Linked DNA regions of Drosophila melanogaster. The protein of the gene in region 1 interacts with the protein of each later gene in a pairwise test. Each region holds a gene or a part of one and is shown on either strand. Other genes may lie near its edges.

Region 1 (5,144 bases):
TGTTGTATTATAAAATGGCAAACTATCAATTGGTCATTGATTTTATTTTCTAACGCAGGTTACAAACATGCATTCCTAAATTGACCCACCAATTTATGGTGAAATAATGTAATTCATAACAAAAGGTGTTATTGTTACAATTATTATTATTATTTGTATTTGTATAATACAAAAGAAACCGTTAATCATAGATAAATAACGGTCGTTTTCAGAACTGCAGCTGGCGCCATCTGTTATTATTTATGAACACTCCAACGCAAACAAAGCTTTTAAGCTTTTATTACATTAACAGTAGCGCCTAAAATTAACGGCCAAATCTAGAGCTTAACGATAGCGCCATCTATTATATTTTAAGCGAACTATCACTTATCAGTAATGTTTTGCAATGCTAGGTTTTATGGTTCTGTTAAACGAATTTAAAAAAATATAAATTATAAAAATTTCTAACTGGAAATTTCCATTCGGAGTGGTTTTTAGTATTTTTTGGAGTTTCGCTTGTATAATCATTGTTATTGTTGGCCTCCTTAAGATACTTTCGTGGTCACTATTGTATGAACTAGATAGAATGAATCGAAATTTTAACAAACTACGATGTTATCTGTGGTTTTTAAAATACATATGTAGATAAGTTAATAATGGTATAGCGACATTCTTTGTTAGTTTTATATGCACACTTTACTTCAATAATCCAACAATTTTCTCGTATATGTCGATAATACCAATATTAATGCAGCCACGATTCCGCCGTATGGTTTTTTTTTACTGACTTAACTGAAATTACAATTGACCCTGGCAGCAATTGAAATCGTGTTGCAACTTTTCATACGACACTTTCGCAAATTTTAGACAGTAAACACAAGCCGACACTTCAACAATAAATTCGATATAGCAAACCAAACCCAGTAATTAATGTGTGTCATATTTGCACAATTGAACAAGATCTTTGAACATTAGTGCAATATATATTATGATTTCAACAGACAGCAGTGCAATAAAGCAAATCTAATTAAAATTCGAGTGCCACCCAGGCGACAAATGAAACAGCGGTAAAATCATTAGGTGATAAAATCAGAGTCAAAAGGCGAAAAAAGCCTAAGGATCCACCACACCGACTACCGAGTCCCCTTCCCCATCGTTTCAACTCAGTGCATTTGAAATGACCCGGAATTCATTGGATTTATAAATTTTTCTTCGCCACTTGCCAAGTGCAGCCGACTGGGACGCGATGGTCAGCAATCGAGTTGCCTTCTTTGAAAGCTGAAATTATTATTTTTTAATTGGCCAGCAACAAATTGCTTCATGCATTTGTGTGTGCCGCCCAGAGGTCACTGCGATTAACCAACCGCTCAGGTTTTGTGTGACTCCAAGTGAAGTACAACTCAGCGCCAAAGCTTCTCTAAGGCTGCAACGATTAATCAAATACGGTGAAACCCCGAAATGAAAGTCTTGCTAGATTAAAATTAAAAAGAGAATACAAACAAACCCATTTTTGTATAGTCCTTTTGTAAAGCATAAAAATTTACAAATTATAGTTAAATAAAACAGCAGATTACCTAATATCAACGTTAAATAGTGTTTAAAGTTATTGATTTTTATATAAGAAATAAACTAAAAACCTATTAAAAATGCATTTTAGATTTCATCCTTTTTAGCGAGGGGCCACTGTAGCCGTCTGGGCCTACCAAAGTGACTCAGTGGAGCAAATGTCGCGTGCTGCCTGCGTGCGGGTGCGAGCGGGAGGGCAGCACCGGACACTCTCCTTCTCCTTCTCCTTTGGGCCGCCCGCTGCTAGCAAGTTGCCTCCGGTGTTCGCAGAGCCGCGATTTCAGCGCGAGTTCAGTTTTTGATTCAGTTTCAGGCGGTTCGGAGTTGCTAAGTCAAGCGCAATAGCTCAAAATACACTTTTTTTAATTTTTGTTAATAACTGTTTTTAATAATTCCGGTGAAACATCGCGTGGTCAAGCGAACTGAGTTAATTTTCGCGTTAGAAAAGTTCACAAGTTTTGCGTTTACCAAATAATTAACTATAACTATTTAACTGGAGCTAATTTAACTGAAATTTAGAACCCAAAATGGGTAATTCCAGTTCCATTTGCGCCGATCGCAATGTCATAACAAATTTCGATGAAAATGGGTAAGAAATGAAATGGAAAAGTGAACAAACTGAAGCTGAACTCAAGCGATTGGCAAAAGAGGATTTCGAAAATGCGAGAGTTGGCCAAAGAGTTTGTGTTTACTAATGCGCAAACATGTTTGTAATTAATTTGTTTATTTTTATTGTTACTAAAAACTAATAACTGAAAGATTAGGAAATTATATTTTACATAAAAAAGTTATTTATAAAAAACCATTACAAATTCTTAACATTTTTTGTTTCGATACTTAATATATTTAAGTAGATCCTTTCCTGCAACTACAAGTTTTTTCTTGTGCAAATGCAAGCCAAGCCACCGCCCTCAGCCCCGCCCCTCCAATAATTTGTTTCTCGAGGTGTCATTAGTGGTCAATGATTCGTTTTACTAGTGTTTTATCAACGATTTACAGGCGACTCGTCGGCGTTGCGATAAAAAAGAATAACTTCTGACACACGCCATCGATAAAAAATTAGAGCACCACCTTCTTAATTAACGATTTTCGAAGTAAAAAGAAAAAAAAAAGTTAGAGCGACAGGTGTGTTTTGCTCACGAAGGTACTTGGAAAATGTAATTCGTTGGCAAAGCTGAAGTAAATTGTTAATATTTATGAAGGTTGCTCGGGCACACACACAAACATGTGTGATATATTCCAATTTATTCGCCTGCCGTGTTTTACTTTCAATTTTTGTGTAATAATTGAATATATCAAACAGACATCCGAGCAAAAGCGGAACGGGCCCACCGGTCGTATGAGTGAGTCAAGTGCAAAGTGGGGCGGGAACTGAAGCGATTCGGGACACTGAAGGTTAAGGTTGGGGTTTGGGGCTTCTACCTTGAGGCGTCTCTTTAAATAATTTATACTTAGTCAGATGCCACAAGTTCAGGAGGTATTATTGGTTTATATTTAACGCCATCGAGTCTAATAATCTCTAATAGAAAAGGTTCGGTTTATTTAATTCAAGTAATGCACGCACGTTGTACTTAAGTTTACATTAAAATCAAAGCTACTGATTATAAATAATAGTAGATAAGAAATTGCTAACTGCAATACTCTATAGTCTAATTTGAATACTATTATTTCGACCGCTGCTGTTCTCACGGAAACTTTTCGCATGCTATTCACGCCGCATCGCAATGTTTTCCAGGTCCCAGACAAATGATTTGATGGTAATAATCGTTGTTTAATGGCGTTTATATGTGCAGATAGTGTTTGCACCGCCCTTATCAGTCAGCTGATATACCCCACACAACTGAAACTAATCGGAGAGAAAGAGCCAAAGAGCGCGGAAACAAAACAAAATCGCAAAGTGTATACATATGGTGGTAGCAAAACAAATCGAATACTGCGGTTCAGTTCAGCACGAAAGCTGCAGCAACGCAGACAAAAGTCAAATACTCAGTGAGATAATTGTCGGCAAATCAATATACTAATAAGTATATAATATAGAAGACTTTTAAGAGCACCGCCATGTACTCGATCCTACGACGCTGTTCTGGTATCAGAAAAACTTTTGGACCGTGAGTCGAATGCAAGAATTTCAGAATAACAAGTATAATGTGGTGTCATACGATTGGACCACAGATCAAGAGGGTGTGTTTCTGAATTGGCAATAATCAGTGTCACTTTGGCACCACTTATCGGTTTCCATCTGGAAGGCGTGTCTGCGATGCATCGCCTCATCATATGACCATGCACATACGTTCAAACATATCAGCGCATTTCAAAGGTTCTGAAAACCTTGATAAGGAATCTGAAACGAAGAGTACCCACCCTTTAAGGGCCTCTTTTAACCCTAAATACCATTTTATTGCTCTACGACTTTTTGGCTATTACAAAAAGCTTTTTATGGTGAAATTCATATATTATTATATACTGTTATATAATATACTATTCAAATAAGATATATATACTATTAAAATGTAATATATATATTATTAACAATTGTTAGTGTGGGAACGTGGAGTGTGTACGATTAAAATTCAATTAAAAATGTTAACATCGGTTCTTTCAGAAAGAGTATCCGAATGTTGGTGACGAATTGGTTGTTATTGTCACTCCCGCATTGACATTCATTCACATATTGTCTGCTCTCTCTCTCTCCCTCAGCACGCCGGTTTATCCCACCGCCAACAATTCGCAGAGTCCTTCCTCATATAGTCGCGGCAAAGAGCGCGAGCTCGGCTGTTACACGAAGAGAAACAGCAACAGCAACAACAACAATAGCCATGAGAGAGAGAGTCAGAGCTGTTGTAGTAGTCGTGTGTGTAAAAATCATACGACCACAACGACAACCACACTCGAATACGAACTTTCCAATTTCGCAAAACTAACGACACGAATCACAACGCAAAGTGCCGCCGAAGTGGACACATCGCCGCATACGGATACGGAAACGCATAGGGACAGAGATTCGAATCCGGGTAATATAGCCTTAGCCACCGATTTGGAACTGCCCAAGGGTCTGCCGTTATCGTTATCCTCGCGACACCACTGGAATCAGCTGCAGAGCAGTTTGCACGCCCTTCACCACCAGCAACAGCAACAACAACAGCAACTACGTTCATACAGCTCCACTAGCGAAACAAATTTGGAAGACAAGATGAGCAAACCCGATTCGAAACTAGATAAATACGCGCAGCGCGATCGCCTGGGCCTTTGGGGCACTGGTGACAATGAGGTGGTCGGCAGCCTCTCCGGATTCACCCGACTCTTGGACAAGCGCTACTCAAAGGTGAGTTCCACAAGTAGGAATATGCGAATACGCTTTTAAGTTGCCCAGTTCCGTGAACTTAGTGGAAAAATACCAGGCAAAGGTTTTTAAGGGTGGGTTCGCATTCGGTTTTTTTTTCCGCTCCCCATATCGGCGAATTGTGTTAGTGAACCGTGTTTGGGTAAATATTTAGAGGTAGAGTCATAATTATAGACTATTAGAAGAAGTTTAATTGGTCTAGAATTTGAAGAACTTAAGCCTTACCTTAGAACTTACCTTAGCCATCCATATGTATCTG
Region 2 (3,503 bases), 6.1 Mb from region 1:
CTTGCAGGCCTCTAAGCGCCAATTTTCAACACTTGCGCTATTTTATGAAAGCTTTCCTTAGCAGGCTGAGAATGTATACAATTATGCAAAATACGAAGAATTTTCCACAAGGAACAGCCTCCTTTCTTTCTTTTAATATAAACCTTCTGGCGGAAACATAGACTCAATGTTGTGGCAGTACGCCACCAGTGATCTGTCCTTGTCATCCGGGAATATTTTACCCAAAAACTCGAGCAATCCAGGCTGATTCTGTACAATTTCGGCGTACTCTTCAAACGCTATCACCCCATCCTTGTCAGTGTCGAATTTTCCGAATATGAACTCGCACATGTCCTGCTCGGAAACGGTGCTGAAATGCAAGCATAATTGTCAATAATGTCAGTACACTCACCGCTCGCAATTCGTTGACCTCGTCGTCGTCATCGCCAGTGAAGAATTGTTCAATGGCCACGCCGACCACCTCGCGATTCAGAACCACAGCACCACCGCTTGTATAAACCTGTAGTCCATGGGGAAATTTAATAAAGGAGTAGCCACGATTTCGGAGCAACCACCTCAAATGCGAACTTCATTCGCTCCTGCAGACTTCCGTTGAAGAACACACAGAACAGCCGCATCCAGGCTTCTGGAGAGACTGATCGGCCATCCTGCGTGATATTCATCGAAATCCGGTCGATGATGGTCACGTCGAAGATCCCAAAGCTGACGAGGAATAGATTGTACAGCTGGCTGGTGGACATCATGCGGGACCTGTTGTTCAGGGCGTACTTGTAAAACACGATCAGCAAGCTGACCACTTCGTTGGTGGAAAACTCCGTGGAGGCAGCGAAGCTCTTGATCAAAGTACTGTACATGGTGAGGAACTTGTTGTTGGCCATGTCGTCCAGGGTAAGGTCGATGCGGTTCATTGTGTTTTTTAATGGCAATGGTAAACAAGTAATTATTATTTAAAATGTTTTTTAAGAGAGTACTGTGTAATGGGGCGTGTGTTTCGGGTGTGTGATGAAAATGCCTAACTTATGAGGCTCTGGCCTGCTTAAAAGGGTGAGGGTTATGCAAGACAAATTGCAAATAGATTGGGTAAGTCGCAGCCGCAGCCTAAGGATTCGCCGGGAATGTAACTGGCGCAATTTAAAAGCGATAAAACAACGCCGCGACATAAAAAATACATCAGCCACGCTACATGGACTACATCTGTCCCCCATTTCGAATAAATATTTGAAACAAACCCGCCTGATGAAACACACAAAGGCTGAGAAAAAAGCTGAAAGCTGTGCGCATGAGAAACGCGAATATAATAATCCAAACAAAAGCGCTGAGATGGGTGTAAAGCCTTCCATGTGGAAATTCGTCGGAAATGGCTGTGTAGCCATTTTGTTTGGGGTAACAAATGTTCGGAATCTCCTTCCCTTTGTTGTATAATTGTATGCCCCCTTCGAAACACACTCACGCAAGCACACACTCACACGTGCCACGCCCACCGAAATACCAAAAAAAATGAGGAGGCGGCTGAGCAGCTCGACACGGCATAATAACAATAAAATAAGAGTGGATGATGAAGGAGAGAGGGCGGCAAGGATTCACGCTCCTTAATGTCTCCACAGTTGACATCGCCAAGTGTTGGCGGATTTACAGGCAAGTTGGGCTGGATTTTGGTATGGACTTTTGATTGATATATTTTACGTACGGTGTTTGGAAGAGACTTACGGCATAAATTTGTTAAGCAAGACAAATGGCGCGGAAGCGAAATTGGAAACATTTTAATTCTCATAAAACGCTTAAAGAGGGCAACCATATATTTTGTATTTTTGAAATCCAGAAAAGCAGGCGAAGGAAACATATGCCAGCTGCACTAGACATATCCATTAAATCATTGTAACTCCTTAATCGATAATCAAACAATATCATATATCCAGTAGTAAATCAAAGTAAAGAGTAAATCACCGTGAGCTTCCCTGAACCATGGAAAACCTAGACTCCACTGTCGATAGCACCGAGAACAGCAAGTTCTCGGCCCTGTACGGTGGATTGATTAAGGAGATCGCTGCAACCTCGAAGATGTCCACCTTGGACATCACCTGTTTGCTTTGCGTTTACTACAAGTTCGTCAGGTTCAACGGACCTGGCGCCAAACAGATGAAGAAGAATCAGTTCTACCAGATCTACTTGGTGCTCTTCAACGTGGCCAATGTTCAGGTGATTGAACGCTCCCTTCTGGCCATCACCAAGGATACCAAGTACGTGAGTCCCCGTGCCTGGGTTGATCTCTTTGAGCTGTACACCACAGAGGATCTGGAGCGCCGTATGAAGTTTGCCTTTGAAGTGGGTAATGGATTGTTAAGCATTTCTAGAAGGCTCTAATAGGGTTCTTTATTAGGTTTATGACACCAAGAACACCGGAGTTATCGATCGCGAGCAGGTGGGCGTGGCATGCGAGAAATTCTTCCACGAAGGCGACGACGAAGATGAACTAATTGAGCTCAGAGCGGTAAGCTTGCTTATCAATTTAGAATAATTTAATAAATTTACTCCTCACAGGACATGACTGAATTTATTATGAAGAAGTTTGATGTAGACAAGGATGGAGTCATTTCGTTTGAGGACTACTCCTCGGTTGTTTCACAACAACCCGTTTTGGTTGAGTTCTTGGGCTGGCTATTTCCATCGAACGAAGAAAGGGATCTTATGGCCCATGTTATCAACATGGACTCCATGCTCAATTATTGTAATCCGGACGCAAAATAGGCTTGTCGTTTGATTAAGCTTGATTATCCCACTGTGATAATAATCGAACGACAAACGACAATGAATGAGGACCAAAAGGATGCCGCCAAAGTAGTTGATCAAAATTTTTGTATGATTTCAAATTAATCATTTTTATAAGCATGATATATCAAATTTCCACCAACACTTTGAAAATAAAGCAAAATGTTTCGCGTGAGCTGTCTTAAAAGGACTTGCGATTGGTTCTTGTGTTAACTTGGTTTATATAAGGCGATAGAGTGGGCGACTCTTTATGTGAACTAGCAGACACTGCGTATGCATCATAAGCTCTCCAAAATCTCTGTTCACATTCTGCACGGGGCTCTGATCAAGTGGATATGCACACTTTAAAGAATACTGTATGGGTAACGGCGCTATGAGCCGTTTTGGATACTTATATAATTCCGATAGCCAAAAACGAAAAAATGCGACGCAGGAGCCTTTGAACTTATACGAAATAGTTTTTAAACATTGTTATTCAAAATCCATCTGCCAACCCGAACATAACACAAAAATCACAAAAAAAAAAAAAAATTAGAAAAAGAAAACACACACAAAAAAAAAGTTTCAAAATAAGGAAAAAAATAACAAAAAAAACTTTACAAGGAAATAAAAAACATTAAAAAGAATTTAGTTATGGAAAACCTAGACGCCACCATAGATAGCATGGAGAACAGTCGGTTTGCAGCGCTCTACGGGAGTTTGATCAAGGAGTTAACCCTAACTTCGGAGTTGTCCCA

The links.
Region 2: the proteins of Men (region 1) and CG15177 interact in a two-hybrid assay, tested with the Drosophila melanogaster proteins (one large-scale study listed by BioGRID).

What each region holds. Positions count from the first base shown.
Region 1 is NT_033777.3:12,719,126-12,724,269, reverse strand, and holds the start of Men (malic enzyme), read left to right. Parts: upstream 1-1,827; 5' UTR 1,828-2,072; coding exon 2,073-2,134; intron 2,135-3,485; exon of another isoform or gene 3,486-3,603; coding exon of another isoform or gene 3,604-3,653; intron 3,654-4,242; coding exon 4,243-4,867; intron 4,868-5,144.
Region 2 is NT_033777.3:6,627,650-6,631,152, reverse strand, and holds CG15177 (uncharacterized protein), read left to right. Parts: upstream 1-1,831; 5' UTR 1,832-1,962; coding exon 1,963-2,322; intron 2,323-2,377; coding exon 2,378-2,488; intron 2,489-2,538; coding exon 2,539-2,745; 3' UTR 2,746-2,949; downstream 2,950-3,503. Other genes in the region: sunz (sungrazer), read right to left, coding at 133-333, 392-499, 555-908; sowi (solwind), read left to right, coding at 3,400-3,503.